Oryctolagus cuniculus: one gene and its partner. The protein of the gene in region 1 purifies or fractionates together with the protein of each later gene. This does not show direct contact. Links are inferred from orthologs where the notes say so. Each region holds a gene or a part of one and is shown on either strand. Other genes may lie near its edges. The genes, in order: MTPN and CAPZB.

The links.
Region 2: the proteins of MTPN (region 1) and CAPZB purify together in Homo sapiens (co-immunoprecipitation; 3 studies listed by BioGRID and IntAct, with this or other methods). This does not show direct contact. The link is inferred for Oryctolagus cuniculus from reciprocal best matches to the Homo sapiens genes MTPN and CAPZB.

The regions. Positions count from the first base shown.
Region 1 is NC_091434.1:171,773,401-171,777,664, reverse strand, and holds the start of MTPN (myotrophin), read left to right. Parts: upstream 1-1,459; 5' UTR 1,460-1,782; coding exon 1,783-1,854; intron 1,855-4,264. UniProt on the Homo sapiens protein: Promotes dimerization of NF-kappa-B subunits and regulates NF-kappa-B transcription factor activity. Plays a role in the regulation of the growth of actin filaments.
Region 2 is NC_091438.1:151,246,484-151,250,284, reverse strand, and holds part of CAPZB (F-actin-capping protein subunit beta), read right to left. Parts: intron 3,491-3,801; coding exon 3,349-3,490; intron 2,572-3,348; coding exon 2,455-2,571; intron 1-2,454. UniProt on the Homo sapiens protein: F-actin-capping proteins bind in a Ca(2+)-independent manner to the fast growing ends of actin filaments (barbed end) thereby blocking the exchange of subunits at these ends.

The DNA of each region.
Region 1 (4,264 bases):
CTGCTTTTTACCGTAGTCTCTGTGCATAGTGAATCTGACATGTAGTGGGAGCCCAAGCAAAGAAGGGCAGGAAGGAGGGACGGCAAAAGGAGGGAAGGAAGGAAGAGGAAGAGGAAAGAAAGGGGGGCAAAGAAGGGAGGAAGATGGGAGGGAGGGATGAAGGGAGGGAGGAGGGAGAGGGAAGGGAGGAAGATGGGAGGGAGGAAGTGAGGCAGGAAGGACTGGAGGGAGAGAGGGCAGGAGGGAGGGATGAAGGAAGGGAGAAGGGAGAGGCAAGGGAATAAGATGGGAGGGAGGAAGGGAGGCAGGAAGGACTGGAGGGAGAGAGGGCAGGAGGGAGGGAGGATGGGATGGAGGGAGGGATGAAGGGAGGGAGGAGGGAGAGGGAAAGGAAGGAAGGGGAGGAAGATGGGAGGGAGGGATGAAGGGAGGGAGGAGGGAGAGGGAAGGGAGGAAGATGGGAGGGAGGAAGGGAGGCAGGAAGGACTGGAGGGAGAGAGGGAGAGAGGGCAGGAGGGAGGGAGGATGGGATGGAGGGAGGGATGAAGGGAGGGAGGAAGGAGAGGGAAGGGAGGAAGGGAGGCAGGAAGGACTGGAGGAGAGAGGGAGGGAGGGCAGGAGGGAGGGAGAGAGGGCAGGAGGGAGGGATGAAGGGAGGGAGGAGGGAGAGGGAAGGGAAGAAGATGGGAGGGAGGAAGGGAGGCAGGAAGGACTGGAGGGAGAGAGGGCAGGAGGGAGGGAGGATGGGGTGGAGGGAGGGATGAAGGGAGGGAGAGGGAAAGGAAGGAAGGGGAGGAAGATGGGAGGGAGGGATGAAGGGAGGAAGGAGGGAGAGGGAAGGGAGGAAGATGGGAGGGAGGAAGGGAGGCAGGAAGGACTGGAGGGAGAGAGGAAGAGAGGGCAGGAGGGAGGGAGGGAGGGAGGGAAGAAGGGAGGGAGGAGGGAGAGGGAAGGGAGGAAGGGAGGCAGGAAGGACTGGAGGGAGAGAGGGCAGGAGGGAGGGAGGATGGGATGGAGGGAGGGATGAAGGGAGGGAGGAGGGAGAGGGAAGGGAGGAAGGGGAGGAAGATGGGAGGGAGGAAGGAGTCAGGAAGGACTGGAGGGAGAGAGGAAGAGAGGGGAGGAGGGAGGGAGGACGGGATGGAGGGAGGGGAGAGAAGGGAGAAACCCAAATCAAAAATCGCCTGAACTTGACATCTTTAGAAGGTGAGCAAGAGGCCCTCCAAGATTTAAAAAAGTTCTTCCCGTTTACTGGGTGCAGAAATCTCCTATTCCAGTCTGACCTGCTCTGACCCTCCCCCACCGGCTCTTCTCCCCGCAGCTCCCCGGTACCCCTACACTCAGCTTCCCAAACCCGGGAACCCCTCCCCAGCCCCTCCCTCCCGGCCAGGCGAGGGCCACCTAGCCACTGCGCCTGCGCACTAGTGTGGCTCGCGCCGCCGGCGCAGGGGCGGGGTCCACAGAGGGCAGTTCCGGGGAGGGGAAGAGGAAGAGGAAGTTAGGGGCGGGTCCTAGCGGGGAGTGAACCGGAAGTGCTAGCGCTCCAGCTTCTCTCGGCCAGGCGGAACCTGCTCCGCTGGGCCTGGTGGCCGCAAAAGTTCATTCTCCCGCCCCAACGGTTGTCGCGGCCAACTGCCTCGCCCGTCTGGCAGCCTAAGCCGCCTTCTCGTCTCCTCTCCGGCTTCGTGCGGCCCCGTGTCCCTCCCGCCGGGCGGTATCCGCTGGCTGCTGCCGCCGCCGCCTCGTCTTCTGCCGGACCAAGCGGCCCGCCCCGCTGCAGCGATGTGCGACAAGGAGTTCATGTGGGCCCTGAAGAACGGAGACTTGGACGAGGTGAAGGACTACGTGGCCAAGGTGAGCGGGCGAGAGGACGGGGGTGGGGTGGAGATGAGGCAGAGCTGATGGAGCCGGGCTGGCGGGGGCGGGCGGGCGGGCGGGGAGACGGGCGGAGGTGGCTCGGAGGAGACGGGGAGTGCAGGTGGCCGGGTGGCGGGTGGCGTGCTGTGTCAGGTCCCTGCTGTGTGCTGTTGCCGGCCGGAGCCCTCGGGGCAGGGCCGGAGTGGTCCCGGGCTCCCGAGAGTCCGTCCTGAGCGCTGAGCGTCTGGGGCTGGCCCCTTAACTCTGGCTGTGAGTGGGGGTACGTCTCCGTCTCCGACTTGCCCGTCGCCGGGCGAAGTCGTCTGAGTAGCGTTTTCTCTAACTCTGGGCCTGGCGTGAATTTTAAAAAGTCACTGACCGTGAAAGAGGGTACCGAAAATAGCAGTAGTTAACATCCTGAAACTCGGTGTCACTTGGTTGTGGAGCCTTGACTCAGGGTGTGGCCTTTTCCTCTCCCCTCGCCACAACAAACGCATCTTTGCCTCAAGTGGTAGGGCTGTCAGTTGACATCTGGGGTGTTGGAGAAATAGGAGTGGTCGTCAGACAAGCAAGCGTGGTAAGTTCATCCTCTCGCCAGTTCGCTCTGGAACGCTCACATGCGTGATGATGCGGTGCAGTGACAGTGTGCTTGAGGGTGAAATCATGATCGGGAGAGCCGACCTCAAAACCCAAGCGCAGACCGTAAAACCGCAGCCGTAATGAGACCCGTGACCTCACCTTCTGTAGGAGGGGACTTACAGGTGATTCTAGTATGGTGCTCACCCAACAAAAAGGCTTCCAGAATGGAAGTCTGGTTTTGTGACGCTGCGAAGGGCGTCTTGCGCACCTTCTGGAACGCGGGAGAGCCTATTGTAGATTTTCATTCTTCCAAGGTGTGACCAGCGGCGTGCCGCCTTGGAGATGTGTGGTAGGAAGCCAGGAAGCAGAAGCAGGAGTTTCTTAAAACTTGGAGGGTTGCGCAAGGCAGGCTGCTGACTGCTGTACTGTATTCTGTACCCTCACAATTTAGATCTTTCTGCTTGTTGCTTGCAGTGGCTTTTTAGGACAGGGTGCCTTCTGCGCACTGTCTTCTCCGCTAGTGGTTTCTCACTGAGATCTGAATTATTGGCTGTTTCAATGTAAGGTTGAAGAAAAGAAATTATGTGGAACTGCAGTCCGTGGTAGCCTGACCAGTGGTGGGACATTGTATTCTGGAAATGAGTAGGCTTTGGTTTTCTTGTCAAGGCGGAACCCAGGTTATTTGAAATTCAGAAAGTTGCTAAGTACTAACTGAACTTAAAGCTACAAAAGTAACACACTTCATATGCAGTCTTCGTGATACATATGTTATCTTTGCAAATACTACAAGGTAAGTCCTATCATTAGTCTCATACAGATACTGATTTTACAAAATGGTGAACCTAGAAGTGCTCACTTCAGAGCAGAGACATTTTAGTTACCCCATACAGTCTCTCTCACTCTAAAACATAGTTGTGAAAGCATAAAAAAACAAGATTTATGGTAGGACACCCCCAAGTTCCACATCCAGGCCAATAATTTGTGCCCAAGGAGTTCTCAATCACATGAAAACATTGTTGTAAGAATATATGCCAATAAGGATGGATTAATTTAATTTCCTTTCAGGTGGCTTTGAAATTAGGTTACTGTGTTAAGTTTGATTCTCCCCTAATTACTACCGTACCACCTACTGTCATTAACAACAACAACAAAAAAAAATGTGTGTGATAGGGAGGATGTACAAAAGTAAAGGAAGTATTGAATACCAGGTTATCCAAAAGGGTTTGACTGTAATGTAATCCTACTTACAGACCATTGAACTTTTGCCTTTCTTAGTTTTCACTGAGTAACATGGTTCTCTTAAAATATCTTTTACTTTGTTAATGAGAACAATAACCAAAACAAAAAACACCTGACCCTCCAGTTTTTTATTGATGAACTCCTTTATTTTGCCTTTTTACACTCTCAAGTCCTAATTACAGCCTCTTCTGCTCAGCTGCCTCTTCTGTACTTGTTCATTATCTCATCTTTTTCATCCATCAATTTAGGAGCATTATTTGCTGAGTTTAGGTGCATTTATCTGAGTTGGTGTATACAGAGCACTAAAGAAACATTTGAACTTGTCTAGTTTTCATTCTTAGAAGCCTTTTTAAAATAATCTATTTAGTAACTTTATGCAAATCACTCATATTGTTAACATATAAGAATGTTCTTGTAGGAGAAGCATTTTAATGTTTTTCTTTAAAAAAATCGGTAATTGTATGTTTTTACTTGCTTCTGACTTCTCTACAGAAATTGAAGTATGGATAGCCATAAATTGTTGATGTTAAGTGAGTTTTTGAACTCTGAAGAGTCAGTTCAGAATTCCCAGACCACTGAAAATTGCATG
Region 2 (3,801 bases), on another chromosome or scaffold:
AGCCGAGGGCGGTGCTGTTCAGCACCTCTCGGGGCGACCTCGCCCTGGGGTCCGCCGTGGGCCCCGCACAGGCCCGCCCGACACCACGGGCCACAGCAGCCGCTTGGCACAAGTGCTCGGGCAGCTGGCTCAGCAGCTTCTGCCTCTGTTGAGCTTCATATTCAGAGTATTTCCCTTCGAATGTTTATTTAGCATCTGCTGAACATCAGCCACCGGGGACAGATCAAGACCAAAAGCGGGGCCGGCGCGTGGCGTAGCGGGTAAAGCCGCCTGCAGTGCCGGCATCCCATAGGGGTGCTGGTTCAAGTCCCAGCTGCTCCACTTCTGATCCAGCTCTCTGCTATGGCCTGGGAAAGCAGCAGAAGATGGCCCAAGTCCTTGGGCCCCTGCACCCGCGTGGGAGACCTGGAAGAAGCTCTTGGCTTCGGATCGGTGTAGCTCCGGCCACTGCAGCTATCTGGGGAGTGAACCAGAGGATGGAAGACCTCTTTCTCTATAACTCTGCCTTTCAAATAAATAATAAATCTTCAAAAAAAAACCCCAAAAACCCCAAAAAACCAACTAAACAACAACAACAAAAAACTAGTATGGCCCCCCCCCCCAAAAATCAAAAGTGTGGCGTGGCAGAAAGCAGTGGGTTTTTTTCGGGGGCGGTGAGGGGAAGTCAACAAATCTAGGGTCAAATCCAGGCTTTGCCTCTTATTGCTTGAGTCAGCATGGGAGAGGCCCTTACCAGCCTGAACCTGCTTCCTCCCTGTTCAATGGGAACGCTGGCTCTCCTGCGCTTGTCCTTGCTGGGAGCCGGCCCCACACAGGGTCTGCGCACCCTCCCTGGGGAGCCGGCCCCACACAGGGTCTGCGCACCCTCCCTGGGGAGTCGGCCCCACACAGGGTCTGCAACGCTCCCTGGGGAGCCGGCCCCACACAGGGTCTGCGCACCCTCCCTGGGGAGCCGGCCCCACACAGGGTCTGCGCACCCTCCCTGGGGAGCCGGCCCCACACAGGGTCTGCGCACCCTCCCTGGGGAGCCGGCCCCACACAGGGTCTGCACACGCTCCCTGGCTTCCTCCATCCGCCGGGAACCTCTTTGCCGCTCCTCCAGCCCCCTACCTGCCAAGGCAACCAGAGGCACCTGGCCAAGGCTGAGCCCGGGACGCACGGCTGAAGCCCGCGGCCCTTGCGTCGCCTGCTGCTCAGAATCTGTGCCATCTACTCAGGCTCACTGACCTCACTGCACCCCCCAGTTAGTGACCGACACTGGAGACGGCCCCAGCTGCCACGCACCGCAGGTGATTACATGACGACAGGAGTCAGGGTCTTCTCGCTAAAGCTCCCAGAGCAGAGGCAAGAGCAGGCCGGTGGCCCCCTGAGGTGTTCTGAGGACAGCTGCTCGTCAGGCCCGAGTCTGGTCTGGCAGGAGCACCCTGCACGCCAAGCCGGAACCAGGCGCTGGCCGTGGGCTGACAGCTCTGATTTAAACTACTAGGAAGGCCGAGGACTAAATATTTGTCCAGGTCACTGTAGACCGGGTGGAACTATAAACAGTGCAGAGCGGTAAGTGATGCAGGAAGTAGTCTCCGGATACGGAGCCAGGATTTTGCACCCGACTGCCAGGTGGCCGGAGTGGGGGAGGAGCCTGTGGCAGGGCTGGTCGCCCCTCCCGTGTCACTGGTCCCCAGAAGGCAAGAGCCATCCCACATGAGAGGACAGGCCCTGCCCTGTGAGCCCTGGTGCCAGAGGCCAGACGGGGACCCCAGGAACCTGGCAGCCTCCAGCCCGGTGGGACGGCCCTTGCACCTCAGGTATGCCACGCCCAGGCACCGTCTCAACCGCGTGACTACAAATCCACTTCAGAGGGTTACCGAATCAATCCTTTCTGCTCTATGTTATTTTTTCTATCAACAGCAACTAACTAAGAGTACAGTTATCTTACTGAAAAGATTTTTGATGTTAAAAGGAACCCTTGTCCAGGAGAGCAGGCCGGACGAGAACGGGAACAGGGACGGGAGAAGAGAGCTCCCCTGGACGCCCAAGGCCACCGCACTTCCACCAACACAGCATCCGCGCTGGCGGGCGAAGGCAGCTCCCTCCCAGGCTGGGGTGGGCTGGGTCTGGGCTTCCCCTCTGCCCCACCCCAAGCGTCCTGCCGCCCTGCACTGGGCACAGGTGAATGCCTTCTCTCAGGATGGGTGAGGCTTGCCAAAGGTAGCTTATCTGTTCTGACGCTTCACCAATAGCATCGAGAGCGGAAGTCAGGAGAAGCTGACCGGTCAGGGTTGAGAGCTCTGTGTTTCTAACAAGCTCCTGACAAAGCCGAGGGCTGACCGGACCACAGGGCTGCTCATGGCCAGAGAGGGGGCCGAGGGAGTGCAGCCCACGAGCGCTGCGAGGCAGCCATGGCCGCTCGGGGGCGGAGCTGGAGTGTGCGCTGGGCTGAGTGAAGGGAGACACTACCTGTCTGGTAAGGCTGCCTCCGAGGTTCATGGTACCCGAGCCGGATTTGTTGGTCTGCAGCCACAGCATCACCGTGGAAGTCAGCTTGTAGTGGGCAGTGCGGCCACTGGACTTCTCCTGCAGGGGAGGACGAGAGATCAGAGCCCGAGGAACGCTCAAGTGCTCCCTCCTCAGCCATGGCCACTGGGGTGGGCATCTGGCATGCCCGTACTCTATGCTGGATCCAGCTCCCTCCTCGCATCTGCCCTGGGAGGCAGCAAGGGACACCCAAGTGGGAGACCTGGACTGAGTGCCAGTTCCTGGCTTTGGCCAGGCACAGCCCAGGCTGTTACAGATAACCTGGAGAGAGAAACACCAACGGGGAGATCTGTAGCTTTCTAGAGAGGGGGGGGGGGGAGGAAGGGAGGGACTCCCCGAAATGTTTTTAATTATTTTATTTGAAAAGCCAAAAGATGGCGTGAGAGATTTATTCCCCACTTTCAACACCCAGGGCTGGGCACAGCCGAAGCCAGAAGCTGAGAACTGAATCTGGGTCTCTCATGTGGGTGGCAGGGACCCAGGTACTCCAGCCTGCCAGGGTGTGCGTTAGCAAGAAGCTGGAACTGGAAGCAGAGCGGGGAGGACCCAGGCACTCCACTACGGGGCGCAGGACCCTAAGTCGCATCCTGACTGCCGTGCCGCACACCCACCCCACGCTGTTTTTGAAAGGGCTGCATCTGTAACCGCGTACGCCGAGTTCGCTGGGACCTTATGATCCACGACTACTCAGTCCTCACTGATCTGCATCCAATCGGCTTTGGGGTGTTTCTAGGAATTAGCAGGGGTTTTCATCAGTGTCCCCAGCGCCAAAGCTGCACCCGGAGGCCCGGCTGCCGGCTGCTGCGGGGGCTGTACCTGCACTTCCACCACGTGGATGGAATCCCAGCAGCCTTTGATCTTCTTTGATCCATCTCCAGCCTTCTTTATGAGGATCACTCCCGCAAAGCCATGATCCAGATCCCAGAGGTAGACAGATGAGACACCACCTTCAAAATACCTGCAGGAAACAGGCCCGTGAGCCAGGAGACAGATGGCCAGTCCAGGTCCCGGCTGCCCCTCAGCTGCGATTCGCCTGGCAGTGTGGGATGAACAACCCTGCACAGGTCCCGGGGTGGATCCCTGGCTGTGTCCTGGTGCCCCAGGTTGGGGAGGGACGCGGGGAGAGCGTGGGCTCAGGGCTGTGGCTCTGTGGTCTCAGGGCTGCGGCTCTGTGGTCTCTGACACCCCTTCTGCCTTCTCAGGGACTCAGATTCCTCCCAGACGGGGGACGCAGCGCAGGGTGCGACACGGCTCCTGGAGCAGCTGCTG